Linked DNA regions of Pelodiscus sinensis. The protein of the gene in region 2 interacts with the protein of the main gene of each other region in a pairwise test. Links are inferred from orthologs where the notes say so. Each region holds a gene or a part of one and is shown on either strand. Other genes may lie near its edges. The genes, in order: RNA-binding protein 3-like, KHDRBS2, hemoglobin subunit pi-like and HNRNPR.

Region 1 (8,268 bases), on a different chromosome or scaffold from region 2:
GTCTCCCCGGCTCTGTGAGGGGAGTGGGGGCTAGTGGTTAGAGCGGGGGGGGGCTGGGAGGTCTGGATTGTCTCCCCGGCTCTGTGAGGGGAGTGGGGGCTAGTGGTTAGAGCGGGGGGGGGCTGGGAGGTCTGGATTGTCTCCCCGGCTCTGTGAGGGGAGTGGGGGCTAGTGGTTAGAGCGGGGGGGGGGCTGGGAGCTGGGGCCGTGGCATCCGGTCACGGCCGCGTTAATGAAAATGCTGTTGGCACCCAGGCTCCGGGCTCAGGTTCCTGCCCCGCCCCACCCCCAGACCCAGACTAATTAGCCTCCCGGGTGCATTGTGTCCCCGGGGCTCTGCGTTCCCACGCTCTCAGGTTCGGCCGCCGGGGGGGAGGGGCGATCAGGTTCCCCCCATGTAATCCTGGGGCTCACAGCCGGGAATTGGCAGTGGGCTCTGCCCTGAGGGGGGGGCGCGGGGACCTGGGGGGTGCAGGAAACTCCCCTCTAGCCTGCAAGGGGCTGCCGGAGTGGCAGGGCGACAGGGGGAGCGCCCCCTGCAGCAGCAGTAGTAGGGCTTGCACCCTTCCTGAGCCACCAGGGGGCAGAGCCACAGGGGCCCGCAGAGCTCGGGGGAGCCCAGGGCAGGGCTGGCAGGGGCTGTGGGTTGGGGGGAGGGGCTCGGGCAGAAATCCTGACCCCCCCCACTGTCTCCCTCTCAGACGCTATCAGCCCCCCCTTCCGGAAGAGATGCCTGGCCTGGAGGGGGGGCCCCCGGCCGCTCCCCCTGCCCTGCTCTTTCCCACCCCCACGCGCCGGCGCCATCGCACCAGCTTCATGCCGGAGCAGCTGGAGCAGCTGGAGGCCGCCTTTGCCAAGAACCACTATCCGGACATCTACGTCCGGGAGGAGCTGGCCCGGGCCACGCGGCTCAACGAGGCCCGGATCCAGGTACCCAGGGGGCTCCGGGGCGGGCGCTCTCCCCTGGCACTCAGGCCTGGCCGCTGGCGGGCGTTCTGTGTGGGTGTTTCCCAGCTGCCCCACCCCAGAGGTGGCTGCACTCCGCAGCGGGCGAGGCATCGCTGGGGTCCCAGCCGGGCGCACGCCTGTGAGGGGCTGGGGAGCGCAGCTGGGGCTGGACGGCGTCTTTTTCTCTTTCCAGGTGTGGTTCCAGAACCGCCGGGCCAAGCAGCGGAAGCACGAACGGGCCTTGCTGAAGCCCAGCCCCCCGCGTGGCCTCTCTGTGGGGCCCGTACCTGCTCCGTCACCCCGGCCGTACCAGTACACCCCGCCCCTGGCCCCCCACCCCCACCTTCCCCGCTTCCCTGCCTCCTACCCCCCAGGACTCCCACCTCCCCCTGCCCAGTTCCCCTGTCCCCACCCCCCGCCCCCTCCCTGTGCCCCCGAGGACTGGTACAGCTCCCTGCGCGCTCTGACCTCCCCCACTGCCCCCCCGACCCCCGTCATCTCCCTCAGCCTGGACCCAGCCGCCCACTGGAACTGAGGCCCACGAGGCGCTGGGCCACAGCCTGGAACAATCATAAAGGCGTTGAAAGGCCTCTGACTCCATCTCCTTCCTTCCAGCACCATCGGACAGCCCTCCGGGCACTGAGATGCAGGGGCAGGGCAGCTGGGGAACAGCCACATACAACACAGCCCAGGGGGAGGGCTCCCCTAGCTCTGAGATGCAGCCACCTCTGGGGCAGGGCAGCTGGGGAACAGCCACATACAACACAGCCCAGGGGGAGGGCTCCCCTAGCTCTGAGATGCAGCCACCTCTGGGGCAGGGCAGCTGGGGAACAGCCACATACAACACAGCCCAGGGGGAGGGCTCCCCTAGCTCTGAGATGCAGCCACCTCTGGGGCAGGGCAGCTGGGGAACAGCCACATACAACACAGCCCAAGGGGAGGGCTCCCCTAGCTTTGAAATGCAGCCACCTCTGGGGCAGGGCAGCTGGGGAACAGCCGACACAGAACACCACATGGGGCTGGCTCAGCCAGCGCGGAGAGGCAGACAATTCTAGGGCAGGGCAGCTGGGGAACCCCCACATATAACACTGCATGGGGATGGCTTATCCGGTGCGGAGATAAGCCATCACCTTTTGTTATTAAATAATTCAATATGGGCCAGCACGGGGTCCCAGCCTGTACCATGGTGTTTCCTCTGCGCTTTAAATGGGTTAATTTCCTAACAGAGAGAAAAATGGTGAGTGAAATAAAATCGTACGACTGGAAGGGACCAGCAAGTGAGCCAGGACCCTGCACAGTCTAGTTCAGTGTTTCTCAACCTTTTTTGTTATAAAGTACCCCTTGAAAAAATTATAAGTACCCCTTTTTCAAAAAACGTGTAAGTTCCCCCAGTACCTACAGTTTTCAGAGACACATTTGTTTAAACAACTCCATCGCAGTCGGGCGGGTGATGACTTTTTTGGGTGTAAAAAGTACAAAAATAATAAAGCGCTGTCAAACGTCAAACAAAAATGCCGTTTTCTCCACCTTTCAGTTGTGTTGACGGACCCCCCAGACATCTCTCAAGTACCCCGGAGGGTACTCGTAGCGCTGGCTGAGAAACGCTGCTCTAGAGCACGCCTGGACGTCTGTCCAACCTGCTCTTCCATATCTCCAGGGCCGGAGATTCCACAGCCCCTCTAGGCAATTGACCAGTGTTTCACCCCTGGCAGGCGGGAAGTTTTTCCTTATGTCCAAACCTCCCTGGCTGCAGTTGAAGCCCCATTGCTGCTTGTCCCGTCCTCAGTGGCCAAGGGGAACAATTTTTCTCCCTCCTCCTCGCGACACCCTTTAACATACCTGAAAACTGCTTCATGTCCCCCCTCAGTCTTCTCCTTTCCAAACCAAACAAGCCCAATTCTTTGTCTGCCCGCCCAGCTCCTGTTCCCTAGACCGGCCATCAGTCTTGCTGCTCTTCTCTGGACCCTCTCCAATGTCTCCACATCTTCCTTGAAATGTGGTACCCAGAACTGGCCACAATCCCCCAGCGGAGGCCTGACCAGCGCAGAGCAGACCAGAATGACGTCCCGCATCTGGCTCACAATACTCCTGTGCACAGATCCTAGAATGATGTTTGCTTTTATTACAACAGTGTCACACTGTTGGCTCATATTTAGCGTGTGGTCCACTATGACCCCTAGATCCCTTTCTGCCAGACTCCTTCCTAGACAGTCGCTTCCCGTTCTGTGCGTGTGGCACGGATTGGTCCTTCCTAAGTGGAGCCCTTTGCATTGGTCCTTATTAAACTTCATCCTCTTGACCTCCGACCGTCTCCCCTGCTTGTTCAGATCACTTTGATTTAGAACCCTGTCCTCCAAAGCACTTGCAGCAAATTGGGGGGGGGGGGCGGGGGAGGGAAACGAGGCCATAAAATATAAGTGCAAATGGGGAGTTTTCTAGGAAAAGTTTATCAGATCATCGAAAAGCCCCGGTTCCAGAAAGAAAGATGGGGAGCCACATGCTCTGTGAGTGGGGGCCGAGGGCACCAACTGGAAAGATTAAAAGCCGTGTGGCACAAGTGGGAGAGGACCAAGAGGGACGGCAATTACACAGCACTAGCAGGTGCGGCCGGGCGTTGACCGGGCAAAGTCACTTTGCGTCGCTTGCACTTCCAGGAAAGTTCCCGGCGCGGGAGAGAGGGCCTAGAATTGTTTTATTCACGCGCTCGTGACAGGGAACTCGGGAAGGGTTTGAAATCAGGAGGATTTCCGCGTCGGGCGCGATTCGGTGAACGGGGCAGAGGCCAGGCACAGGCAGAACCGTGTCCCAGCCCCATGGCGGGTCCGTAAGGAGTGGGAGTTATTTCGTGTCGTGTGTCGTCGCCCGCGTTCTCTCTGCACGGGCGCGAGGGCGGCGCCGGCGCCCTGGTGTTCGGCTGGCGAGGGCGGCGCCGGCGCCCTGGTGTTCGGCTGGCGAGGGCGGCGCCGGCGCCCTGGTGTTCGGCTGGCGAGGGCGGCGCCGGCGCCCTGGTGTTCGGCTGGCGAGGGCGGCGCCGGCGCCCTGGTGTTCGGCTGGCGAGGGCGGCGCCGGCGCCCTGGTGTTCGGCTGGCGAGGGCGGCGCCGGCGCCCTGGTGTTCGGCTGGCGAGGGCGGCGCCGGCGCCCTGGTGTTCGGCTGGCGAGGGCGGCGCCGGCGCCCTGGTGTTCGGCTGGCGAGCGGTGCTCTCGGCGGGATGCTGAGCGAGCGCTGGGACTTTCTTCCCGACACAAACCGAAAATCAGGATTCCCCCGCCGCCCGTTCCCGCAGGGATTGGCCCCCCCCGTGTGTTCCGGGGTAAAACGCGTAGTCACCCCCCCATTCCGGGGGAAAATGTGGGGATTTCCCTTTCCTTGGGGGTTAAATGCAGGGATTCGGCCCCCCCCCCCCCCCCCGTGGCGGGTAAAACGCGGGAATTGCCCCCCCCCGTGGCGGGTAAAACGCGGGAATTGCCCCCCCCCCCGTGGCGGGGATTTCAGGTCATGGAGGGGGCGGGGCATTTATGCAAATTAATTAATTATTACAATTCACTGTTAATTAAGCCTCACGCCTGCGCCCCTCCCCCCGGATCAGGGCAGCAGCGCGGGGGGGGGGTGAGACGGAAGGACCCGGCTGCGAGCGGGGGCGGGGCTCAGGGGCGGCCTTTAGAGCAGGGGGCGGGGCTCAAAGTCCGCCGGGCCCCGGATGTTCCATGGGCGGGGCTCCGAGAGGCCAGGAGCCGGACGCCGCTGGGTGGGGGAAGTCCCCGGATGTGCTTCATGCGCAGGCGGCCTGGGCCGGGCTTGGCGGGAAAAGGCGGGGCGCGGCGGCAGTTGGGCAGGACCCGGATGGGCGCCGCGTGCCAACGTCCCGGATGGGCCAGCTTGGGGCTGGCCCCGCCCTTCTCTGCCCTCCGCTCCGCGCGCGTGCGCGTCTCGTCACTGCGTCCAATGGGAGCGCCGAGCCGAGCGTCACGTGAGCGGTGGGCGGGGCCGCTATATAAGGCTCGAGCGGGCGGCACCTCGGCCGCCTTTTCAGCAGCTCCAGCCCGGGAAGGACTCGCCTGGTGAGTGGTGGCGCGGGACGTGGTGGCGGGTGCTCGCCCTGGCGCAGAGGGAGTCGAGGGATTGTGGGAGGGCCGTGGCGGCCTAAAGCGCGCATGCGCGGCCGACGGGACCCTGATGAAACGTTGGTGGCCGGTGCAGGAGGGGGATTCTGTGGCGAAGGGGCGGCGCACGGAAGAGGCCTTAGGGGCGCGCATGCGCGGGGGCGGTCTCGGAACGTTGGCGGCCAAGCGGGGCCTCTGGTGGGAACCGGACTGCTGCGCGCATGCGCGGTGGTCGCCTCGCTGGCGTTCTCTCCGCGGGGCTCGCGCCGGCTCTGCGGGAGGGGGCGCCTTGGAACCCTGGGGCGGGCGGCGTTCCATCCGGCGCGGGCCTGGCCACGTGATCGCCCGCCGCCATCTCTTCTGCGCGGGACGCAAGATGGCGGCCGCTGGGGGCGGGGTTGGGCTCCTGGGCCCTTGCGCCCTCCATTGGGGAGGGGGTGAAGAGCACGTGGGCCCCCTAAGGCCGGGGGGGGGGGGCGAGTTCCCTGGGCTGGGAGAGCAGCCGGGCCTGTTTCATGGGGGGGCCTGCAGCAGCCCTGAGCTCTGGGCAGCGGGTCTGGGACCCTCGCAGGGTCACCCCGAGAGCGGCTGTCCTGGGGCACTTCCTCCCACCCGGGCCTTGGAAGGAGGGGGGCGGGGGACGTGTTGAGGCGCTTTAGTATCCATCCCGATGATGATCCAATCCCATTTCCTTGGGAGAAGGCTGCGGTAGGGGGCTGAGGGTTGCAGGCTCCATAAGGCCCTCAGGGAGAAAGTACTTTCTGATGCTCAGTTGCTCCCTGCCCCTGGGAGGCAATGGGGAGGGGGGAAGCTACCTGGGGCCCCTCGGAACTTGTAGGGAGTGCTGAAGCTCTCACTCTCAGGGGAGAATCCTCTGCTGCAGTGTCTACGTCTCTTCTTTCCCTCCTTCCATGCGGGGCTTGACTCCGGGCTTGAGAGGGGAAGTCATGTCATCTGTTCTTCCTAACCACCTTGCATCTCCTTCCCAGACTCCTCGCCATGTCTTCTGAAGAAGGAAAACTCTTTGTTGGGGGTCTGAATTTTGAGACCGACGAACAAGGCCTGGAGCAGCATTTTGGCTCCTTTGGCCCCATCTCTGAGGGTAAGGATTCAGTTATGCCTGCACACCTGGTCCCTATGACTGTGAGGGGAATTGGTTTTGCAAGACCTCATTGCAGTAGGTGCTTAGGCCTCTGCCTTAATATCAGCTGCCTAGTAAACTGGCACAGCTCTTTGCCATGTGGTATCAGCAGATATCTTACTACAAAGATACTGCAGTGTGGTCAGGCTGTGGGGTGCATCTAGGAGCAGCATCAAGTAATTGACCAGTGCATGAGGCCTGTGCTACATAAGGGTGATTTGTAGACACAGGTCAATTCCAAGTGCAAGTTGGCTCAATTGCCCTTTATTTCTTCCCCTTCTAGTGGTGGTAATTAAGGACAAAGAGACCCAGAGGTCCAGAGGCTTTGGCTTCATCACCTTTGCCAACCCAGAACATGCATCGGATGCCATGAGAGCTATGAACGGAGAGGTGAGTCTTACTGCAGTGATATCTTACTGCAGGCTGCTGCTTAACCTGTTCCCTTTCCTAAACATGTCTTGTTTCGCTGCAGTCCGTGGATGGGCGTCAAATCAGAGTTGACCACGCTGGGAAATCTTCCCGTGGATCCAGAGGTGGCTCATTTGGAGGCAGGGGACGAGGCCGTGGCTACTCCAGAGGTGAGTCTAGCAGCCCTGCTGTTCTCAATCTGCAAGTCCCTGTCCTTTGGGAGTAGGAGCACTAATGTCTTTTTACCCTGTGTGCTGTAGGAGGTGGAGACAGAAACTACGGTGGCGGCCGCTATGACAACCGAAGTGGCGGCTATGGCGGGTCCCGGGACTACGGTGGCAGGTAACTCTTAATGAGACTCCAGGAGCCCAATTGATGAAGCTTAACACAGAATGTTGAGGGGTGACTTGAGCTTAGTCTGCAAGCACCTACGTGCAGATCAGTACTTGGATATTAGGCTTGCCTTGCTCAATTGCAGAGCGCTAATGTCATCCAGCTACTGGAAGCTGAAGCTAGAAAAATTCAAGTAATAAGGCACGTGTTCTTTAAGTGAGAGAGATGATCTGTATTGGAATTGAGCAAGAGTTGTGGGTGATGTTCCCTCACTTTTTTCCGTCCATGTGCAGAATAAAATTTGTGTGCCCTGGGGATGTGGCTGTGCACCATTAGAAAGGCATGCTGCTGCCTGTGGGTGCTGTGCTAATCCCTTGGGTGGCCAAGTGGCCACCCAAGCACTTGGCTTACAGGAAACACTGGCTTGGGGGGAGGGGGGGATTTTTTTTGTCCCTGCTACATTTGAATTCAACATTAGGCAGTTCATTTTTTAAAAGTCTTAGGTTTCTGCTTCTACTCATCTTGTCTGCCCTGTCCTGTGGGGGTCTGACTTGATCAGTTTTCCATTGCCCTTAGAATTGAGGGCGTTGGAGTGAATGTAATAAGAGTTGTGCTTTGCTTTCAGGAATCAGGGAGGATATAATGACCGCTACTCCTCTGGAGGCAGTTACAGAGACAACTATGACAACTAAGGTAGGTGGAGCTGAGAGAATGAAATACAGCACTTCTCTTGATTAGCAGGTGCACTTAAAACCTTTGCAACGCACCATCTTGTGCTGAGCAGTGGCCATAATCGAGGATTAGTAGCTGGGACTCGTCTCTTTGTCCGCCTTTAACAAGCCTGACTGAGTCTTATTGCCAGGCCTTGGTTCCGTTAACCCTGGTCGATAGCTAGCATGAAATGCATGTGGAGGCTTAGAATTCCATTTAACACAAGTGACCGCCATCCAGCGACTAGATAACTGGGGGAGGGGGAGTCCTGGAGATTCCTAGCCTCACAGAGCCCCAAAAACAGTCTTAGAAGATGGTGAAATGCTACAAAAGTGTCGGTATGCTTCAGTGCCTTTACGATTGTACCTACTTCTTGTCCTCAGCTCGCAACGAGTAAAAACCCTTCCTGACTCAAGATCGTCCTTCCAATGGCCGTATTTATAAAGAGTTTTGGAGCTTCGCTGAAACTTATTGTTTAGTTATCTCTACCTGTATCTTCCCTTTTGTAGTCTTGTCACGCAGCCTGACAGCTTCTGCTACGAGATGGCCCGTTGAGACTTTCCTCAAGAAAGCTCTGTTTATTTTCGAGTGGTTTTTTAAAGCATTTTTGAAATCTTTGGTTTTT
Region 2 (7,535 bases):
CTCCCACTACAGAAAGAATATAGGTCCAGTGGAGGACAACCAAAATGATTAGGGGGATGGAGCACAAGACCTATGAGGAGAGGCTGAGGGATTTTAGTTTATTTAGTCTGAAGAAGAGAAGAGTGAGGGGGGATTTGATAGAAGCCTTCAACTTCTTGAAGAGAGTTTCCAAAGAAGCTGGAGAGATGCCGTTCTCAGTAATGACGGATGGCAGAGCAAGGATCAATGGTCTCAAGTTACAGTGAGGAAGGTCTAGGATGGATATTAGGAAAAACTATTTCACTTGCAGGATGGTGAAGCACTGGAGTGGATTACCTAGGGAAGTGGTGGAATCTCCATCCCTGGTGGTTTTTAAGTCCCGACTTGCCAAAGCCCTGGCTGGGATGATTTAGTTAGGTTTCAACCTGTTTGGGCAGGGGGCTAGACTCAATGACCTCCTGAGGTCTCTTTCAGCCCTATGATTCTGTGATTCATCAATACAGGAGAGAAATAAGATAGTAAATTGGTGCACTGGTGTTCAAATTATTAAACTATTGTCACTGATATTTTAGAGCCCCTGCTTCTTTCATAGCTGTTTTATTGTGATCTGTCCGGGTAAGTCTACACTACAGCGCTAATTCGAAGTAACTTAGTTCAAATTAGTTAATTCGAACTAAGCTAATTCGAACTAACGCGTCTAGAACTAAAAACTAGTTCGAATTAGCGTTTTGCTAATTCGAACTAGCATGTCCACATTGAGTGGACCCTGAACAGGGCTTAAGGATGGCCGGAAGCAGTGCCGGCAGGGCATCAGAGGAGGACTTAGAGCGTGGAGATGCTGTCTCAGGCTAGCCGAGGGCTGCGCTTAAAGGGACCCGACCCCCACCCCGGACAGACAGTTCTCAGGGGTGCCCTGCTTGAAAACCAGTCGTGGCTTGGAGTGCCCGGAGTGCCCACACTGGGCACATCACAGCACTCAGCCATCAGCCCGGCTGCACTTGCCGCAGGCTGCCATCCGGGGAGAGGGGGCAATTGAGGGGCTGCAGGAGAGCTTCCACCCCAGAAGCCCGCAGAGCCAGCCCAGTCCTCCCCATCGGGGGCTAGTACCCCATTCCTCCCTCACCTCCTTCCACTTACCCCTCCCTAGCCCCCCTTCCTGATGTACAAAATAAAGATAACGTTTCTTCCAACATTGACTCTGTCTTTATTGAACAAAACTGGGGGAGACTGGAAAAGGAGGTGGGAGAGGGGAAGAGAAAGGCTGGGAGATGGGAGGGCAACTAACATGATCAGGGGTTGGGAACAGGTCCCAGATGAAGAAAGGCTACAGAGACTGGGACTGTTCAGCTTAGAAAAGAGGAGATGGAGCGGGGACAGGATAGAGGTCTCTAAAAGCAGGGGTTGGGTGGAGAGGGTGCATTCAGAAAAGTTCTTCATGAGTTCCCGTAAAGAAGGACTAGAGGACACCAAAGGAAAGGACTGGGTAGCAGGCTTGAAACTAGTAAGAGAAAGTTGTTGTTCTTCCCAAAGCAAATAGTTAACCTTCGGAACTCCTTGCTGCAGGAGGCTGTGAAGGCTACAACTAGAACAGAGTTTAAAGGGAAGTGAGATCAAGTCATGGAGGTTGGGTCCATGGAGTAGTCTTAGCCAGGGGGTAGGAGTGGTGTCCCTGCCCAAAGTTTGTGGAAGACTGGAGAGGGATGGCACGAGACAAATGGCTTGATCACTGTCTTCGGTCCATCCCCTCCAGGGTCCCTAGTGTTGGCCGCTGTCGGCAGACAGGCTACTGGGCTAGATGGACCTTTGGTCTGACCCAGGATGGCCATTGTAAGCTCAGGGCTCAGGGTCGGGGGTCTCAGTGGACCCCCTTGATTATCATGCACACCTGCTCCTGGGTGGCCAGGCTGGCAGCTCTCCTGCCCTAGCTGGCCACTTTCCTGTGCCTACTGCGGAGATTGTGGACGAGGTCCAGGATGTCCGCACTAGCCCAGGAAGGTGCCCGGCTCTTGCGGTCCCGGGCAAGCTCCCGGGAGCCGCCAGCCTGGTCCCGGGAAGAGGGGGTGGGCTGGGGGAAATCGGGTGGCTGGCTCGAGCCGTGCCAGGTGCAGGGTCTGCTGGCTGGGTGCTGGCAGGCTTGCACCTGGCACGGGCACCGTAGCCAGCCCGTGCCCCTTTAAGGGGTCCGGGGCCGGGAGGGGGGCAGACGAGTTTCCCTGGTGTTGGCCAGAGTGGCCACCAGGGAAACCTGGGGAGGGCTAGCCTCCCACTAGTTCGAATTAAGGGGCTACACACCCCTTAATTCGAACTAGTAAGTTCGAACTAGGCTTAATCCTCGTAAAATGAGGTTTTCCTAGTTCGAACTAAGCGCTCCGCTAGTTCAATTTAAATTCGAACTAGCGGAGCGCTAGTGTAGCACCTATGAATGTTAGTTCGAACTAACGTCCGTTAGTTCGAACTAACATTGTAGTGTAGACATACCCTCCTTTATTAGACTTATTAAAAATAAAACAGAAAAATGCTTTGCCTGTTCTGAAACATCAAACCAAATACATGTAAAATATATGTTTTTATTTTAGTGGATATAGCAAACACTCAAGCTCCTAACTAGATAAGAAGTCATAACTCATGATTAAAATATCATCTGAAAAATGTATTTAATATCTGACAGACTTTCATGAAATATGTTTTAAATGAGATTTACTCTAAAATTTCCAGAAGACCCCAAGTGACTTAGCAGCTTAAGTATCATTGAAAGTTAATGTGACTTAAGCTGTCACATGCTTAAGTCACTTTTGAAAATGAAACGATGGATCATCTTATGCCTGGCCACTTTGCTGCAGAGAAATATGTATATAACCCTTTTCTGTACTCCCTATACGCAAGTGTTCTATGAATACAGTTCTTTCTATTGCACAAGTTCCTTAAATATATATACTCAAGTTTATTTTTTTGAAAATTGGAATTGTATTCAGAGAGGTATAAAAGTTCAAATGGTAACCATATCTAAGCTTTGGTTACCCTTCCATAAATTACATGTAAAAGGTAAAATTGGATGGCCAGCAAAACACAGCTAATCAGACTCCCAACAAAATTTACTCTGAAACAGCCCACTACCTATGTCACTCCTGCAGTGTGTCCTGAATACCAAATGACCAGGACTATTTCAGAGTGGGAAGAATTTAGGTTAGTGCTGAGTTCCCCTCTTTTACTATTCCTCCTTCTCTCTTGAATCAGAAGAATCCAGCATTAGCTTTTCCAGTGAATGTAGAGGTAGCAGTGTGGCAGGAGTAGAAACATGGTCTCTCAGTAGGATAGGACTAAGCCAACGTTAGTTAATTATATTTTGTTAAGGTCCAGACACCAGAGAAAAGAATAAAAACGATAATGATAATAAACGCAAGATTCATTCAAAAGCCTCTGGTATTATGGGTTTGGCCTGTGCTCCATCTATTTATCCTATTCTAAGCCATTTAAGGTCTTATATCTATATATATTGTGTGCCTTCATAGTTCAAATTTCTCGGTCATGGTTATTACAATGGCTCCTGAATCTGCTGGGATATGCTAATAGATTTACAGTTGTACTTTTACATTTGTGTCCTCTCTCACACCAAAACAGGATTAGTAGGTCCCTGGTGTTTGCCCACTTGATTGATAAAATATTCAAATGATAAAGCAAAAATAGAGAGCTATACCTAGAAACTGAACAAAAGAAGCAGGGCATAGCTAGGGGTGGAACTGAATGTGCTGTGGCCTGCCCGCCAGCTCCCCTGGCACTCTGTCCAAGGAGCAGCCAAGACTTACCCTTCCTGCTCGCTGCCCCCCATTCGTGACCACCCACCCGAAGTGAGGGTTCATCCAGGTGGGCCCTTCTGGCTGCTCTACTGAAAAGAAGATAGAAGAGTGCTGAGAAAATGTTCTTACGATGTAACCCCGGTTCAAATTGCCCCGGGAATCTTTGTCCATAAGTGAACATGCTTTGTCTGTAAGATCCATGGGCGTGGGGAAGGGAGGAGTGGGTAACTATAAACTCTAGACACTGTTTCCTGGAAATTCAACTCTCCTGGGAACAAAGCCCATTGTATTAGGCCTGTTGCAGCCCCTCTAACCGCATGGGAGCTTTAATTGTCGAAGGAGGAAGCTTCAAGCGCCGCTCTCAATGTAGCGTCGCCTTTTCCTTCCTCAGTGAGCCGCGGGACGTCTGCGGAGCATCGGGCCGCTGTGCTCAGATGCCGCGGCAGTCCCGGCTCTGCCCATATTGCGCCGGCAGTCTCCGGGCAACTGCTCCGTAGTCACCTAGTCCCTCCCGCTCCGGGGCTCTGGCCAGTCCAAGCTGGCCCAGGCGAAGTAGCTCCTTGGCACCTGCAAAAAGTTCCTGGGAGAGGAGGGCGGCCGGGGGCAACCAATGGCTCAGTCAAATTTCCCGCCTCTCCTGTGACTCCACACCCCACCCCCTCCCGGGGTGCGGCTAAAGGGCAGGCACAGGGCTGCCGTACATCCTCTCTCCTCCCCCCTGCTGAGGTTGGCAGCCTTCCCCTGGCTCCCGCAGAGGCGCCCCGCCTACCCCGGCGGGCAGTGCCTACTCCGGACTTCAAGGGCGCGGGCTGAAGGGTGTGAGGGTGGCTCAGGGAGTCTCGCTCCTCCCAGCCCCCGCCCCCTTAGCCCCCGCTTCTGGCTGCTGCTGCCCGGGCGCCTGGCCCAGGCTGCTCCATCCTCCCGCTGCTTCAGCACCTCGGCCAGCGAGCGGAGCCCGCGCACCCCTCCCGCCGCCTCTGCCAGCTCCGTGCCCCGCCAGTCAGCGGGCGAGCTGGGGGGCCGGAGCCAGCAGCAGCTCACCGCCGCCTTGCGGGTCTCCGCCCTCCAGCGCGCAGCCACCAATGAGCGAGGTGGGGAGGTGGGGGGCCCCTTCTTCCCGCCTCTCTAGTTAAGGCCGCGGGGACCGGGCTGTAGCTCAGTAGAAGGGGCAGAGGCAGGCGCGGAGCCAGCGGGGGCTGTGAGGGGCAGCACAGGGCAGGGCACCTCCGCTGGAGTTGGGGCCAGCCGCCTGCCAGCGGAGCGGAGGGAGCCCAGGTGCGCGGAGCGGGGGCGGGAATTAGACCACAGCCAGAGGCGGCCAAGCCACCACGCCACTGCAGCCAAGCAGCACCTAGGACAGCGGCGGCCGGTCCCAAGTGCAGAGCGGCAGCGGTACTATGGAGCAGGAGAAATATTTGCCCGAGCTGATGGCAGAGAAGGACAGCCTGGACCCGTCCTTTGTTCATGCAATGCGCCTCCTGGCTGAAGGTAAGACTTCGCTCCTCCTGCCGGGTGTCTTGCCTCTTGAACGCTGCCTTGCTGTGCGCTTAGCTAGGGGACGTGTGCTGCCACGGACAAGCAGCCGGGATCCTTGCACCCAGGCAAGGCATTCCGCACCTTAGCACAGGCATGCAGATGGTCCTCCCCCTCCCCTTTCGGAGGGACCCCCAACCTGCCTGATGGGAGAGATGCCAGCAGAGATTCCTGAGATCTGCCATAGGGATGAGGAATGACTAATCGGCTCAGGCATCGCAGGCAGTGCCATGAGCAAGAAAGTACGGCGTCCACAGAACTGTCCACTTCTGAAGTGGGAGAGCTGGGGAGGGAGGGTTCAAGTCAAATGTGATCCTCGAGAGCGAGTGTGTAAGAGCTATAGTCTGTATTTCGGCAGCCTTTCTCGAGTGCAGAGTTGCCCTATGAACTGGCCATTCACAGGTTTCTGTGGAAATGTTGAATACTAAAGAGGCAATCCGAATCTCATCGCTGACGATGAAACACTGTGGAAGATGTTATTCCCTCTCGTGTCTACTGTATAGGAAAATTATCAATGATCAGTTGCTTTGCAAAGTATGGATTGTGTTTTATATGTTTGTTGTATTAAGGCAGAGAACACAGTTAAATAGGGAGATGCATATTCCTCCCCCCCCCCATTAACAATAGTTCTTGGAGCTTGTTCTCCAATAGCTCCTACTAGCCACTGTTTGGAGTAACTTACCAAATGTATTTATCAAATATCACTTATGCTAATTATATTTATATGTAGTAAATGTCTATATTTTATTTTTCATTGCTGGAAATGTCTGTCTTCTTATGATTTTTCACTAAAAGGATTTATTTCATTGAACAAACGGAATTGGATAGATTTTTTTTAGGTAGGGCTTTCATGGTTCCTGATTTTATTTACACAAAGACAGATGCTAGATTCTCGTTATGGTCATTACCTCTTGTTTTCCATCTTTAAGTATTATGTTTGGCTTTAGATGATAACAGCCAAATCTCCTACTATATCTATAATGCAGCATTTTGTCCTTTTCTGTTTTGTACATTCACTGGATAGGGCATATCAGTTTCATGACATCATTTCATTAGGGACTTGATGCATTTTTCTTATGATTGTACAGTAATATAAAGAATTGTCTTCATACAAATTTATTCTTCATATATCATTAGTGCTTGTGATATAACTACATTTTATGCATTTTGAGGCAGATATACTACTTAAGAAGGAAGTCTTCAAAAACTTTATCTTTCTTACAGCACTATGTAGTTATTGACTATAGGCCTTATTGTGCGGGACTTCTAGTACAGAAGAAGTACAATTAGATATACCCCCTTCTTGCTTTCTGTTGCTTTTTCTCACATATTTTGTTGATTCTTTAAAATATTGTCTAAATTGAATACAAATGAAAATGAAAATAGTGATAATGAAGCATAAATCAAGATTCTATATTAAAATCTGAAATGAAACTAAGACAAAAGCTTGTATTGAAATCATTGCAATATTCAAAATATATACTACTCTACAATCTAAGTGAATAATTTTCTAAAGTTTCATGTGCCTTTATGCACATTCATAAGAATTTAAAACTTTTTATGCTAGTACTTAAAGCAACCCTTAGCTCAGCAGCCTTCATATTGTCTTTCTTAAATACATGTTTTATTGATTGAGAATAAAGTTACTGAGTCTAGATTTTCACAGAGTGCTTCTGTCCGATAATGGGAAGTCCAGCATAAAAAGTGACACACATTTAATATACTTATAATACCTATCATACTGCTCTCACAAACAATCACAGTAGTTTTTACAGCAGGCATACTTACTAATTTGCAGATGATGAACCAAAATTCCTTATTGCTGAAAGGGGCATATTTATTGCACTCTGCAATTTGATCTTTTCCCAGCAGGGGGAAGTATCTACTGAAAGAGTGTGTGTGAGAGCTATCATACAAAGTAAATTACTGAAAGTGCGCCAAGTATAGTCAAATAAAGAAATGTAAGTGTTATTTCGGGGTCCGTAGTTCACGCAAACATCACATTTCAGCCAATTGGTGAGACTGACTAAATTAATAGTTAATTGGTTTCTTTTGAGTATAGCTGGGGTTAAGTCTATCTGAATATTTTAAAAGATAAAGCTAAGCTATCTCTGAAATTTTTAAAGAATGCTAATGTAGGATTCACACCAGATACCTGATATGAACCTTCAAAACACCATCTGTTTAGTTTTTTAGAGAGGTATTTTAGATTTTTGTATAAATGATTTG
Region 3 (7,558 bases), on a different chromosome or scaffold from region 2:
AGCATGTCCCCCTGATACCCTCTCATCAGAGGCTGGCTTATTCCCTGAAGTAAAAGGGTTATGTCTTAAAATGGTGGGCTTTGGGGAGTCTATTTAATGTAGCTTCTCCATCAAGGAAGTGTCTAATTATCTGTGAATTTGGGCAAGCTCTGGCCTCAATGATACCTTGTGGCAATGAGTTCCAAAGGCTAATTGTGGGTGAAAAAATAGTTCTTGATTGATTTTAAATTTGCTGCCTTTCAGTTCAGTGTCCTCTGGTTCTTCTTCTATGATGAAAAAAGAGTAACTAGAAGTGATTAGGTGTTGTATGTGGATCTCGCTATCTGAGGAGCCCCCTTAGCATCTTGCAGGGAATGTCAGAACACCCTTCCCATTATGAACAACAATGTCCGGCTGGAGCCAGTGAATATTAAAGCACAGAGACAAGAGTGGCCAATTAGAATATTTATTGGCTTTTTGCTTAGGACAACACCCAGGTGTAGGGATTCATGAAGCGTGCATGATGAAGGGTGGGCATCCCACTCTGAGAGGCCTGGCCCCTGCTCTCCTAGGAGACAGTTTATCTATACTTCTCAGTCAGCACCGAAGAAATCTGGGACAGGAACTTGTCCAATGCAGCATGAACTTCCGGGGTGAAGTCGTTGGGAAAGTGGGCGGCCAGAGAGCACAGAATGCAATGGGAAAGCAGCTGCAAGAGAAAAGAGCAGGAGAAAATCACATGGAAAATCACATGCCTGAAATAACACACCTCTGCCTGCTGGGAGCCTGAAACACCAAGCTGGAGTCTCCTTGCCAGGTAGAGTCTCCTCCAGTGGGTATGAGTTACTGACTGAGAAATCCACCTTTTAGACCAGAGAGAAGTCGTTGCTTCACACTGCTCCTCTTCCTTGTCCTGGGACTATAAAGTAACCAGGAATAATCCTTGCACATACAGAAAGCTTTTCATGCAGGAGCCTGAGTCCTTGGCCAAGCACAGTCAGTATCATTCTCCCCATTTTTGATGGGGGTACAAAGATGTGATGCGATCTGTCTAAGATCAGTGGCTCACAGACCTTTGTTGTGGGCACGAGGGACTGAACCGGTAACCTTAGGGGTGAAAGCCATGTGCTTCTACAGCATGAGCTAAAAGCCAACTGGCTCTTGGCTAAGACTGTACAGCAGATTTCACTCTCCCTTGCCAAAGATCTCAGTGCATGGCAGCTAGGTCCATCCATGGCTAATAGCCAAGCTGGGCAGGGGTGGTGTCCCTAACCTCTGTTTGCCAGAAACTGGGAATGAGCGACGTGGGGTGGATCCTTTGACAATTGCCCATTCTGTTCATTTCTCCTGGGGCACCTAGCATTGGCTACTGCAGGAAGACAGGATACTGGGCTAGACGGAGCTTTGGTCTGACCCGTGTGGCCCTTCTTATGTTCACTCACCTTGAAGTTCACTGGGTCAACTCGGAGGATGTAGGCATGCAGCTCACTGAGTGTGGCCAAGGCACCTGTAATGTTATCGATGTTCTTAGTAGCCTCCCCAATAGCACTCAGGACCTTGGAGCCATGGCCATGAAGCTGAGCAGAACCTTGGCTGAGATCGAAATGAGGGAAATAGGTCTTGGTTTGGGGGAAGCCTGAAAAAAGCCTGGAAGAGAACATTAGAAATGACTTCAGTAATGGAAATTGCACCAAGCAGCTGATACAGCCCTGAGTCAGGGAGGCCAGGACCCTGGATCGACACTTGCTCCTGCTCTTCTCGTCCAAAACACTGGAACTGGGAAAAGAATGGATTAGAGAAATGCTCTCTAGACTGTTAGTATTTGACTGTACCCTGTGCTGAAATGGGGCTGGAATGGTCAAACGTTACAGGCCAGCAGTTCTACAGGAGCGGTTTGTAACCTTATTTCTTTGTTTTAGGAAAAGAGTGATAGACCAAATTCATCCCTGGTGTTTACAGTTGTAAATCAATGGAGTCTCACCAAGAAGAATTCTTGGCTAAGCCATGTTTAGATTTACACGCTGAAAAGTATTTTACAAGCATTTTCAACTTACTTTCTTCTTTGAGCTAAATAACCTAATACTTCCCCACAGCCATCCTCATCCTCTGTAGTATATTTTCTGCAGCAGAACCAAATTGCATTTCCCAATGATAGCAGAATCTATAGTGAATACTCTCTATAGTCAGATATTTCATGTCCAGAATCTTTGCTTCAATCAGTATAAGTGAAGCTTACATAGCCAAAAAGGGCCATGAAAAGATTTAAAATGAACTGCTTGAATATCACAAACCTGGGACTAGTCTTCACCTGAAGAAACCAAACATTGTTCCCAGGTTCTTTCCCTCCCTTTGTATCAGCTTGTTTAGACAATTAGCTGTGGATGGATTTTTACTGGAAGGAGTACAGAGCTCTTGGGCCGTAAGGTGGGTTACCCCCAAACTTCAGCTGGTTCATTTGAAATGGGATGTTTGGGGAAAATGTCCCCTTTACTTAACATACATTTCACATAATACTTCAAATCCATTAGTCCTGGCTCTACCAATAAAAGGCTGGCTAGTTGTATTTACAGCAAACCTTCCGTGACCCTACAAGCCTATGTGGTTTACAGTGATATGCACTTCATGGGGGTGTCTACTTCTCCTGCTAATCTGTTACACATCAAATGGAATGTTGAGACATGTTCCAAGCATCCTGCTTGAATACCCCATCACAAGCACTGCCCTGCACTTGCCACTAGAAATTGCATCATTCACATAATAACCCCCTCCCACGTGCCTTTTGTTTTCATGTTCAGCTCATACCAGTGATAACCTTTGCACTTGGCATTATCTGGGTATCAGTGGCCATGTGGAGTCACTCTCCGGAGCTCCGCCCAGCTGGCATCCATGGAAAGTGAATAAAACAGAATATTCTTTCTTTTGGGGTTTGAAATCATCCCGCAGGATTGGACAGCAGGGATATTATTCTCTGTTAAACTCCATAGAGTGTTAGAGTCATTTCTATAGAGCGCTGCTGTATTCTACAGGACTTTCCATGAGGGTTATTCTCCAGGAAAAGCTGAGGCCCTCAATCACCAATGTTTGAAGAATACCCTTAAAATCTGCCCTCTCAAGAGCTTCATTGTCTCTGATTTCCCCAGGCTTCTGAACTACAGACCCACATTCACCCCTGGCACAAACTTTACCCCCGAGTGTGTCCACCAGGGTGAAATCTGAGACAGGCCCACAGAATCTAAGCAAAGATAGCACATCACTTACCTCTCCAGTGACTCGGCCCCAATGGCATTAGCATGGGTAGCGACCTTTTCCCAAATGGCAACCACTGCCGCCTTCTCAGCTTGAGTCAGAGTCATCGTTGCTGGGGGGTTGTGAGATCAGCCTCCTTGCAATGGTCACTCGGACAGGCCTGTGCTGATCATCCTCGCAGCCCCCTTATAAAGGGGACGGAGAGAGCAGAACTTGGCAGCTGTCCATTGCCATTGGTCACTTCTGGGGCCCACCCCGTGAGGAAGGGCTCTCTTATCTCTCTGGAAAACAATCCTTGTCCTGCCCTGGACTGTTCACTGGGAGGCGTTATCATTTTCTCACATCTTAACGCAGCAGTGTGGTGGCCTGGGGAAATGAACCGGCTGCAGGGGCAGAGATGAGCAAACAGACAATACGGAGAATCGTAATGACAAGGTGGAAAACATCAGGCCTAAGAGCAAGGAGGGAATCATCCACGTGTTTTACAGATGTGCTAACAGGCTCAGAGAGAAACGAATGCAATGACAGGCCACTGCTTTTCAGGGAATACATGGGGACAGAGCAGGGTGTGCTAAGTGTAGACTGTGGATGAAATCCTGCCTGCACTGAAGTCAATGGGAGTTAACCCTGTATTGCTCCTGCCAAGTATTATTCACAAGTAATTTACCATTACTACATAGCACTAGCTACAAAAAATGACACCACTTCAGATTTAAAAACATCTCATGGAAGCAGCGGTATTTTGTATAAACACACACAAACACACACTCACTCGCATACACATCTTGCTGGGTTGAGTAGGGTTCTATGTGTGTGGGGGGGGCATATGTAAACCACGCATCCAGGGTGGTTCACTGTCCCATGTAGTGGCACTCAGATCACTTAGAACAAGAGGTAAGAACAAGGGAGTGCTACAGCTTAAGCTGAGAGCCAGCTGGCTTTGTTGCTCAAGCTGTAAAGGCTCCTATGCTGAGGTCTCAGGTTCAAGTCTGCCTGGTGGTAGTTATATATATATATGCAAAATATTATGATGAATTAACTACACATCTCAAGGCCTCTGGACCACACTACCTGCATATGAGTAGTCCTGTGGCACCTTAGAGACTAACAAAAATATATACAGTGAAGCCTTTGTTATCTGGCACTCTGGTAACCAGAAAACTTTGTTAACCAGCATTGCCCCTAGCCACAATACTGTCACATCACATCTTCAGGTGCACAGGCCTGGCTTGGTTTACCATGATTGGCTTAACAATTTTTTATTTAAGAGGTACTAATCATCTTTAACTCAAAATAGAAATGTGAGACCAACTGCCTCACACTATTAAAAACTTACGTTTTATTATTATTGTCCATTGGTTTTCCTAGGTTGATGAGACCCTCAGATAAATGGAATTTTTAGATAACCAGATCCTAATCCCCAAGCATGCTGGATAACACAGGTTTTACTGTCCATAGCATCATGGGCTTCTTCAGATGAGCTTGAGTGGAGGACAAAAAATCATTGGTGTAAAGGAATCTCTCTAGAGCTCATGGCTGGAGTACTTAATTCTTCAGGTCTTTCATTCCTCGATGTATAATTCTGACAATTGTTTATCTATATGGTGGGATAGCAGAGAAGGCCGGGAGCCTATTGTGCTCCAGCTGTACTAAAACACAGGAGGACATGAAGAGCTCATGGTCTAAACACATAGAAATAAGCGAGGTACGGGGGTGAGAGGAGGAGGGTGACTGAACAAGGGGATGGCTGGCTTATGTCTAGATTCACTAGGCAGCCAAGAGAGGCTGGGAGAACTGCCAGGTCCTGCAGTTAGACACAGTTTCAAAGAACTGCCCCTCCAGAGAAGAAAGCTTGTGTGTTTGCAAGAAGGAACCCCTTGTCCCTGTGCCTGCAACACTGGCTACAGCAGACCCATCTGCCACCAAGATTAAGGCCATGTCTACACTACAGCGTTATTTTGAAATATCTTATTTCGAAATAGTTATTTCGAAATAAGTTATTTTGAAATAACACGTCTACACACAAAATACATTTCAAAATAGCGTTTTGCTATTTCGAAATAGCACGTCTACACTGAGTGGACGCTGAATCGCATTTAAGGCCTGCCAGAACCAGGTCCGGCAGGGCATCAGATCAAGAGTTACTTTGTATGGCTGCTGACTGAGGCTATCTGAGGCCTGTGCTTAAAGGGACCCTCCCCCCCACCCAGACAGCTGGTTCTCAGGTTTCCCTGCTTGCTTACCTACCTCAATGAGGGAGAGCAAAGCATTTTGTCCCTGTATGCTCTGGTTGCCCTCACCCGGGACACCACAGCACTTTGCAACATGGAGCCAGAGCTGCTCCTGGGCACTCTGGTGCTTCACTTGGACACATTGCTGCGAGCCTGGCTGCACTTTCTGCAGGCTGCCATCCGGGAGGTCTATCAGGGGGCTGTCAGTATCCAGGAGGCCCTGCGGGAGAGCTTCCATTCTGAGGAGCACTAAGAGCCTCCCTGGTCTGCCCCACTGGGGGTTTGTGCCTCGTTCCTCCCTCACGTCCTTCCACTTACCCCTCCCTAACCCCCCTTCCTGATGTCCAATAAAATACATGTATTTTCATGAACACAAACTTTCTTTATTTAACAAGACTGGGGAAAGGAGGCTGGAGAGGTGAGAAGAGAGGGTGGGAGAGGGGAAGGGGAAACCAGGGAGGAGGGAGCTGGAAGGGGGAAGCAAGGGGAAGAAGGGGGAGGAGAAGCTCAGGGCTCAGGGTTGGGGGTCTCGCCGGACCAACTTGATTTTCATGCGAACCTGCTCCTGGGTTTTCATGTGGCCTTTGGTGGCCAGGCTGGCAGCTATCCTGCCATAGACGGCCGCATTCCTCCATCTAGTGTGGAGATCATGGATGTTGGGGGCATCCCCCCCAAACTTGAAGAAGGTCCATGATCTCTACCCTGGACCAGGAAGGCGCCCGCCTTCTCTGGGCCCTGGCAGGCCCCTGGGAGCTGGCAGACTGCTCCTGGGGAGTGGTGGAGAGCTGGCTGCCTGTGGCTTGCTGGTTCATGTTTTGGGGCCACTGGGTCGGGGCAGTGACTGCTGGCTCTGGGCTGGCAGGCTTGGAGCTGGCACAGGCACTGTGGCCAGAGTCTACCCCTTTAAGGACTCCAGGGAGGAGGGGAGGAAGAGGAGTGTTCTTAGTTGAGTGTACTTGGGGTTGCCTGTTAAATGGCTTTATTACCACTTGAATGACTCTTTCCCAGGTTCCAGGTTCTGCTAATAAGTCTGGCAGGCCTTCTCGCTTTTAAGTTAACTGGATCCTCTAAGAAGGAAGCAAAGCCACAGAACGGAGATAGGACGAGGTGGGTAGATATTAAGACCCAGTGGTGCCCCACATTTTCAGATGCCCTGATCTGCTGCGTATTTTGCGCATGGGTAAGGATGGCCCTGCTAGCTTCCATGCACCACTAATTCATGGACTCCTGCCACTGGCGAAGCAGTAAGCCCTGTGCCTATGCTGTGGCAAGCATTGGTCCTCAGGCCTCTGTAGGAGCATGGGAGGCTCTGCTACTCCCGGACAGCAGTAATAGATTAGCAGGTGTCTCCAGATAATGGTGAGGCAGGCTGCCCAGTAGGAGGTTTCTCTCTGGGAGCCCCACCAACTGGGACTAGTGCAGTGAAGGCTGGTGGCTTGAGTGTTTCCATTTTGATGAGGCTGCAGTTGACTCTTGACTCCCTTGCCTATTGGAATGGACATTTCCTCCAACTGGTCTCTGTCTCTGGGATTTTGCAGTAAGTCTGTGCCCTTTATGATGGCCATATTTGGGGCTCGGATGGCATTTTTCTCTGGGTCAGAGAGATCCAACTGGATGCTCTAACCACTGGACTACAGACCCATGCTAGCTTGTGTGCACTCATCCTTCCAGGGTGGCCCAGGGCTACTTCTAAAAAAGGAATAAGGGATCTTTCGGAAAAGGCTTTATTTTCCAAAAGATCCCCGTCTAGACTGGCGCTTTTTTCCGGCAAAGCTCCGAGCCGGAAAAAAGCGGCAGCCATGTTTATGCAAATGAAGTGGGGGGATTTAAATCCCCGCTTCATTTGCAATTGCGATGTGTCTAATTTGCATCCCTTTTATGGAAAAGGGATGCAGTCTAGACACAGCCAATGGGGGCAGAGAGGAGAAGGCTTTGCATGCTCCCCTGCCTAGGGTTGCCAGATGGTTTAACTAAAAATACCGAATCCCCCTACCCCCCCCCCCCCAAAAAAAAACAGGGGAAAAATTGTTGGGAAAAAAAAGGGAGACCAAAGTCGTTGAGAGGAAAAAAAAAAAAAAAGGACCTCGAGAGTTATTAAGCAA
Region 4 (7,429 bases), on a different chromosome or scaffold from region 2:
CGTTTCTTGGAACCAGACAGAACTTGTTTGGGGTAGGTGAGATTGGGCTCTAAGACCCCTCACCTGGGGTCCAGGGCCATCTGGGGCACAGATATTGCTGAGGAGTCAGAGGGGTTTTGCTCGTGAGGCTTCTGGCTGGCCAGGCAGGCAGCTGAAGCGCTCCGTGGGACTGGTTTGTGGCCTATTTGGGAAGGTCTCCAGTCTGGGAGCTGTAAGGAGCCCCAAATTTGAGCAATTTGCTCTGAGCCTAGTCCGGTCTGTCACACTATCCCTACCTTGGAATGAGCTTTAGTTACAATATTTGGGCTGGTGAACCTTTACCAAAAGTAAGGTAAAGGTCCTTTCTGCTTTTAGAAAGGGTAGCTGGCAAAGTACACTGAGGCACATTATTTAGCTTAAAACTACGTTTTAACTACATGGCTACAATTTCCACTAGCATTCAGTATGTTAGGCATCCAGTCACCACCAACCTCCTTGGTGAAATTCAAAATAAAAGTCATTAAGCACCTCAGCCATTTCCATGTTTTCTATTACCTTCTGCATGTCTAGTCTTCACTATCTGACAAGAAACTGCAGAAGAGTGGGGCCCTGCAATGCCATTTTCTACATTTGGGTTCAGAGATTTGATAGGAAGGAGATAGGGATGTAGTAGTGTAGTCAATTAACCAATAAGAAACAGCTTATAGGTTAATGCCATGGACTACATGCATTTCCTTTCCCTCCTGCCTGTAAATTTTTTAGCAGGCTGATCTGCAGCCCTGCTCAGATCTGGCTCTCTCCAGGTCCAGGAGCTCAGCCCCACACTGGACAGAGGCTGCTGCCACCCCATGCTACTGCCTCTGTATCAGAAGCAGTTGCGTGGGGCAACAGGCACCTTGTCCATGAGAGGAGCTGGTTTTTAAACTGGCTCCCCTTGCGGACCAGCTCCCAACTGGCACCTTGCGCTGCTGCCTCTGATGGAAGGTGGAGAGGCAGGGGGCTCCTTGAGAGTGGGGCTGGAATGCATTGGCTGCCAGCCCCATCTCTGGGGACTATACAATAGTTGAGTAATTGATAAGAATTCATGAGGTTAATCGAATATTTGATTAGCCAATATTTAACATCCGTAGGAGGAGAGGATGGACATAGTGGGGCTTGAGACAGAAGATGTGGCGTATGAAAGAGGCCACAGGCTGGGGAGCTTGCTTCCCCAAGCAGCAGCTTCACTCACCATTCATGGTATTGCCACTTGTTTGTTTGCAGTCTGTTTTGCTCTGTTACTTAATTTTACTGTTCTATGGTGTGTGCAGTATCAGTCAGCTGAAGAGCTGACATCCCAGACATATTGTATAAGACTAAGTAAATGTTTTTTATGCTCCAGTACCAGAAAAATATTTATTAATATTTGAAACAAGAACATGACTATTTTAGCTGATTCACAGATTTGCTTGGCATCCTAAAGCTGTGAAGATAATATGTAAGCAAGAAGGGATTGTTTTGTGAACTTCAAAGACCATAGCATGCTAGCGTTTTGGCAGAAGTTTCATTTTTTAAAAACAATTTTCCCTGAAGATTGAGGTTACATCTCCAGTTGCCACAGCGGAGATCAATCTTCTGGTATTCCATTTAGCAGGTCTAATAAAACCCACTAAATCAAATGGTGAGGGTACCCCTGGCCAGCACGGGTACTCCTCTATTTGCAAGGAGCACGGGAAGTCAAGGAGAGCATTTGCTCCTATCAACTAACCACTGTGAAGATGTGGTAAAGCAGCAGCTGCTTTTGCGCAAAAAATTGCTGCCTATCTACACTGCGCAAATACACTGACGTTCTAATGTATGAAATCAGGGCTTCTTGTGCAAGAACTCTGATGCTCCCGCTTAGGAATAAGCCCTCTTGTGCAACTGTTCTTGCGCAAGAGGCCAGTGTAGACAGGCAACATGAATTTTTTGCACAAGAAAGCCCTATGGTTAAAATGGCCATCAGAGCCTTCTTGCACAAGAGAGTGTCTACACTGGCATGGATGCTCTTGCGCAAACGCATATGCCAGTGTAGACGCTCTCTTCTGCAAGAGTTTTTGCACAAGTATTCTTCCACAAAAGAGTTCTTGCGCAAGATCATGCCAGTGTAGACATAGCCTAAATGTCTAACAGCCTGATAACACTTAATAGATTTAAAAGGCAGAGCTGCAGCAAGGTTGCTGCAACTCTGCAGTTTCCCCCCTTTATCAACTAAACAACTTGTCAACTATCTGATTAGACACTTTTTAACATCCCTACTCCCTGCCCAGATTGCATATCAATTAGCAGACCACTGTTTAAAGCAGCTGCAACTGCTCTGTAGTAAGGGTGCTGGCAAGGTGGCCACTGGATCCCGCTGGCTAGCTGCCTCTTGCTCATCCCTGCCTTAATGTGTATAAGTAGTGTAACGTTGTTGCAAAAAAGAAAAAAAAAGGCAAACATGATTCTGGGATGCATTAACAAGAGTGTTGCAAACAAGATACTAGAAGTGAAAGTAAGGTGGTGTGCAGTAGGAGAGTGGCTAGCTGGGGGCAGGACTCTAGCTGCTGCCGGACACTGTAAGATTCTTATGTTGGGTGCTCATCCCACCCCTTCTGCCTCACAGGAGCCCAATCCTGTCCCCACTACCAGAGAACTGGGGGGAGGGGCACAAGGTTCCAGGCCTTCTGGGCTGGAATCAGTACTCACGATAATAAACCCACAGCTCAGGTGGCCAGCCAGCTCGGCCAGCTGAGGGGATCTGACAGGTGGGCTACAGTGGCTGCACTCTCAGCTCCTAGCTCCCACCTGCCCTGAGCCCCTCCATACCCCCACACCTTGCCCTGCCCCCACCCAGAACCCCTCCATGCCCCCCACACCTTGCCCTGCCCCCTACCCTGAGCTCCTCCATGCCCCCCACCCCTTGCCCTGCCCCCCACCCCGAACCCCTCCATGCCCCCACACCTTGCCCTGCCCCCACTCCAAACCCCCCACACCTTGCCCTGCCCCCACTCCAAACCCCTCTATGCTCCCCACACCTTGCCCTGCCCCCTACCCTGAACCCCTCCATGCCCCCCACACCTTGCCCTGCCCCCTACCCTGAACCCCTCCATGCATTCCACACCTTGCCCTGCCCCCACCCCTCCATGCCCCCCACAACTTGCCCTGCCCCCCACCCCTCCATGCCCCCCACACCGTGCCCTGCCCCCACCCCAAACCCCCCCGCACCTTGCCCTGCCCCCCACCCCAAACCCCTCCATGCCCCCCACACCTTGCCCTGCCCCCACCCCTCCATGCCCCCCCCACCGTGCCCTGCCCCCACCCCGAACCCCCCCGCACCTTGCCCTGCCCCCACCCCAAACCTCTCCATGCTCCCCGCACCTTGCCCTGCCCCCACCCCTCCATGCCCCCCACACCGTGCCCTGCCCCCACCCCGAACCCCCCCGCACCTTGCCCTGCCCCCCACCCCAAACCTCTCCATGCTCCCCGCACCTTGCCCTGCCCCCACCCCTCCATGCCCCCCACACCGTGCCCTGCCCCCACCCCGAACCCCCCGCACCTTGCCCTGCCCCCCACCCCGAACCCCTCCATGCCCCCCACACCTTGCCCTGCCCCCACCCCTCCATGCCCCCCACACCGTGCCCTGCCCCCACCCCGAACCCCCCGCACCTTGCCCTGTCCCCCACCCCAAACCCCTCCATGCCCCCCACACCGTGCCCTGCCCCCACCCCTCCATGCCCCCCACACCGTGCCCTGCCCCCACCCCGAACCCCCCCGCACCTTGCCCTGCCCCCCACCCCAAACCCCTCCATACCCCCCACACCTTGCCCTGCCCCCTACCCTGAACCCCTCCATGCCTCCCACCCCTTGCCCTGCCCCCCACCCCTCTATGCCCCCCACCCCTTGCCCTGCCCCCACCCCTCCATGCCCCCCACACCTTGCCCTGCCCCCACCCCAAACCCCCCCGCACCTTGCCCTGCCCCCCACCCCAAACCCCTCCATGCTCCCCGCACCTTGCCCTGCCCCCACCCCGAACCCCCCCGCACCTTGCCCCGCCCCCACCCCTCTCCTCCATGCTCCCCGCACCTTGCCCTGCCCTCCAGCCCGGGGCGGTGCCCTGGCTCAGTACCTGTGAGAACCGTAGGGCGCGGGCGCGAGCGCGAGCGGCTCTTCACAGCCCTGGCCCCGCCCAGCGGTGGAGGCGGCCCCTCCCTTTGTTCAGCGAGGCGCAGCTGCCTCTTTAAATTTCCGATCTCGGGCCCTAGCTCTGCGGGCGCGTCGGCCTCTGTCTTCTCTAATTGGTCCCCTAGAATAATCGTGTCTCGCCTCCGATCGCTAATAGGTTCCGCCTTGCTGCTCGTCTGGCTCCCAATACGCTGATTGGCTAATGCAGGGAGCCCTGGAAGCAGTTCTGGGAAACCCCGCGTTTTGCCGGGGTCGCGCCGCCGTCCATGAGGCGAAAGGAGGCGCGCGCGCGCCATTTGCAGTCGCTGCTTAGGCCCCAGCCGCGCCGCGTAGGCCGCGCTCCGGTGAGTGCCGCGGGGCCGCCGCCGGGGGGTGGGGGGCTGGCCGAGAGCTGGCCCGCCGCGGGTGCGTAGCCAGCCCCGCTCGGCCGAGGCGGGGCGCTGGGCCCTGGCGGCCGGGACTAGGCCGCGCTCCGGAGGCGCCGCGGGGCCTGGTTTGGGCTGGGGATGGCGCTCGGGGTTGGGCGGCAGCGCGTGGGCCGCCTCGTAGAGCGCCAGCCGGGCCCGAGGCCACGGGGCGCCGCTTGGGGCCGTGCGCTGCCCGCGGCCCGCTCCGCTCCGCACGTGGGCCGGCTCCTGCATGTGGCTGGCGCCCGCCTGGCATTGTGTCTGCCGCGCGTCCAGCGCAGCCCCCCCCCCCCGCCCTTCCTCGCGCGGGCCGCGCGTGGCCGCTCAAAGCTGCCTGGAGGCACAGCCCGTGGCCGCTGGGCACAACACCGCGTGCGCGGCTGGGCTGGGAGTACCGAGGCTCCAGCCTTCGTGCTGACCCGCCTGCATTGCTGTAAGCAGGCGACCCCCGTGCTGTAAAGCCGCCCAGGATGTGCTTCGCTAGCTTCGGCTTTAGGAAGCTAAAACTTACACTGCCCGAGTTTAATAGCGGTTAGGTCGCGTTTTGTGTTTGGTTCTAGGTGGTACGCCTTGCTTTGGGCTAGAAAGATGAAAGAATCTCGCTAATATGAAATTGCATTTTCTGTGCTGAACTTTAGCAAACTTCTATCCACTAACGTTTTTATTAGACATACAGGATCTAAATTGGATTTAATTTTTTATTAAATACTTATACACATTTCTAAAGTGGATTTAATTACTGTGTTTTAGTGGCCATGTTATGCATTACCCTGTGAATGTAGCCTTACTTGACCTATGGTTCAGCATAGGCTTATTTAGAGGAAGTTGTTTAGACTTTTCTTTGTATCTTCTTTTTGTCTTTTCTCCCATTACTGGGCAAAAACATTTTTAACAGCTTTGATACTTTTGTGCTGTGGGTATCATTGATGGCCACACATTTTTCTGTTTGACATACTGCAGAACAATTATTAGTGTCATACATGGTGTATTCTGTAGGAGTAAGAAAGTGTCAGTAATTAGTGGGTTTTTTAAACCTTTCTGTGAATTGACTTGATTTCTGTGTAAATTTATAAGGTTTGCTGACTAGCAAAATTCTACTTAATAGCATTCTTTATTCTAAAAGTGGCTGTTCTTTTTGGGTATTTTATATCCCTACTCAATCGTCTGTCTGCTGTTAATTATTTAGGGATGTAAAATCCCATTTGGTTAAATGGTTAAACATCCTACTAACACAATATTTAATCCATTAAAGAGAAGGTAGGCAGGGGGGCTGACCCAGTGGGGAACTCCACAGGAGTTGAGCAGCCCTCTGATAGAGGCTAAGCTGCTCCTGGTTGGTACCTGTTGACTGTTACCGGGTAAGCATTACTGGTTAAGGGTGATGCTTACTGGGTAACCATTTAACCCTTTAGCTATTCACATCCCTAGTTATGATGTGAATCTCAGTAATATTTGGGTACACCAGACATGTTAATGGATTTATTCTGTCATTAATACTGAGTGGTAGATAAATTACTATTACAGATAGAGAACTGAAGTGACCTTCTGGAAGGTAAAATTCATACATGTTAGCACATGTCTTCACGGCAGAGTTCATGAGTGGTAACTCAAGTATTGTCACTAACTTGAATTTCCTCCACATCCAACCCCCTAATTTGAGTGTCACCCTATTTGTAACTTGAGCTGGCTGACCCATTTGGAGGTGGAGTGAGAGGCTAGTAAAATGAAGTTCAGAGTAGGGATGTTAAATATTGGTTAATTGAATAGTTGAATAACCTTGTGAATTTTCATAAGTTACTCAACTATTCTGTAGTCCCTAGGGCTGGCAGCCCTGTAGTCACCGGGGCTGGGGCCCACTGCCAGTATGCTCTGGCCCCACTTGGGAGGAGCTGCTTGCCAGTCCATACCACTGCCTCTGATTCAGCTCTCCTTGTGGACTGGCTACCTGTTGCTCTGCGTTGCTGTCTCTGATACAGTGGGGACTGAGCTGGACCTGGTGTGAGCAGGAACTGGTCTGGGCTGTGTGGGGTGGGTGGGTGTGTGTGTGAGAGAGAGAAATGTATATAGTCTATAGCATTGACCTATAAGCTTTTGCTAGTTGATTGACTACACCAGGGTCAGCAACCCTTCTGAAGTGGTGGGCCAAAATTTAACTCTCCTGACCTGGGCTGTGCTCCTCTCTCTGGGGGAAGGGGCTTTCCACTTGGCTCCCCGTGGACCACCTGAGTCAATGCAAATCTTTCCCTGGAGTACCAGTTGCTAATGGAAATTCACTGTTAATTACATAATTGTACCCAAGCCATTTTGCTAGTGCTGCAGCTGGGGAGAATGGTTTCATTTAAATTATTAAACAGATTAAGCTTTTTAACTTGCTTGTGTTAGTTTATCAATGTTTTACTTTATTTAAAATGAAGTTTATGTCCAACACACAGGTTTCAGTGTTTTCTTTCTTTATAGCAGGGGTGAGGAACCTTTTGGGTTGGAAGTCACTGACCCACAGAAAAATCAGTTGGGGATCACACAAGTGAGAAGCAAAAAAAAACTCCTCCCAAACCCCCCAACCTTCACTGATGTTGACCCCAACTGAGACACCTCACCTGGCACACCAGCCTCCTGAGGGGAAGGGTCAGGTACTGAGGTTCAGGGCTTCCCATAGGCCAGATTTACTTTTCTGGAGTTCTGCAGTTAGTGGATTTTGTGGACCCCCTTCGGCTCTGGGGTGGGGAAAAAAATGAAGCCCTGTCCCAGTGTGTGGGACAGGGCTGCCAGTGAGTGTGATAGGGATGCAGTATCTTGGGGGGGGAAGTGGGGTGAAGGATGGGGTGAGGAAGGTAGGGTCTGGAAGAGCGTTTGGTGGAAGG

What was found.
Region 1: the proteins of KHDRBS2 (region 2) and RNA-binding protein 3-like interact in binary tests that used the Homo sapiens proteins (3 or more experiments, as listed by UniProt). The link is inferred for Pelodiscus sinensis from reciprocal best matches to the Homo sapiens genes KHDRBS2 and RBM3.
Region 3: the proteins of KHDRBS2 (region 2) and hemoglobin subunit pi-like interact in binary tests that used the Homo sapiens proteins (3 or more experiments, as listed by UniProt). The two-hybrid records come from large-scale screens. The link is inferred for Pelodiscus sinensis from reciprocal best matches to the Homo sapiens genes KHDRBS2 and HBZ.
Region 4: the proteins of KHDRBS2 (region 2) and HNRNPR interact in binary tests that used the Homo sapiens proteins (3 or more experiments, as listed by UniProt). The link is inferred for Pelodiscus sinensis from reciprocal best matches to the Homo sapiens genes KHDRBS2 and HNRNPR.

Annotation. Positions count from the first base shown.
Region 1 is NW_027466045.1:273,065-281,332, forward strand, and holds the start of RNA-binding protein 3-like, read left to right. Parts: upstream 1-4,857; 5' UTR 4,858-5,008; intron 5,009-6,039; 5' UTR 6,040-6,049; coding exon 6,050-6,152; intron 6,153-6,474; coding exon 6,475-6,581; intron 6,582-6,663; coding exon 6,664-6,769; intron 6,770-6,859; coding exon 6,860-6,941; intron 6,942-7,557; coding exon 7,558-7,624; 3' UTR 7,625-7,625; intron 7,626-8,026; 3' UTR 8,027-8,268. UniProt on the Homo sapiens protein: Cold-inducible mRNA binding protein that enhances global protein synthesis at both physiological and mild hypothermic temperatures. Reduces the relative abundance of microRNAs, when overexpressed.
Region 2 is NC_134713.1:45,802,457-45,809,991, reverse strand, and holds the start of KHDRBS2 (KH domain-containing, RNA-binding, signal transduction-associated protein 2), read left to right. Parts: upstream 1-4,402; 5' UTR 4,403-5,170; coding exon 5,171-5,261; intron 5,262-7,535. UniProt on the Homo sapiens protein: RNA-binding protein that plays a role in the regulation of alternative splicing and influences mRNA splice site selection and exon inclusion. Binds both poly(A) and poly(U) homopolymers. Phosphorylation by PTK6 inhibits its RNA-binding ability.
Region 3 is NC_134726.1:4,665,608-4,673,165, forward strand, and holds hemoglobin subunit pi-like, read right to left. Parts: upstream 3,398-7,558; 5' UTR 3,333-3,397; coding exon 3,238-3,332; intron 1,627-3,237; coding exon 1,422-1,626; intron 689-1,421; coding exon 560-688; 3' UTR 430-559; downstream 1-429. UniProt on the Homo sapiens protein: The zeta chain is an alpha-type chain of mammalian embryonic hemoglobin.
Region 4 is NC_134735.1:23,170,110-23,177,538, forward strand, and holds the start of HNRNPR (heterogeneous nuclear ribonucleoprotein R), read left to right. Parts: upstream 1-4,357; 5' UTR 4,358-4,427; coding exon 4,428-4,505; intron 4,506-7,429. UniProt on the Homo sapiens protein: Component of ribonucleosomes, which are complexes of at least 20 other different heterogeneous nuclear ribonucleoproteins (hnRNP). hnRNP play an important role in processing of precursor mRNA in the nucleus.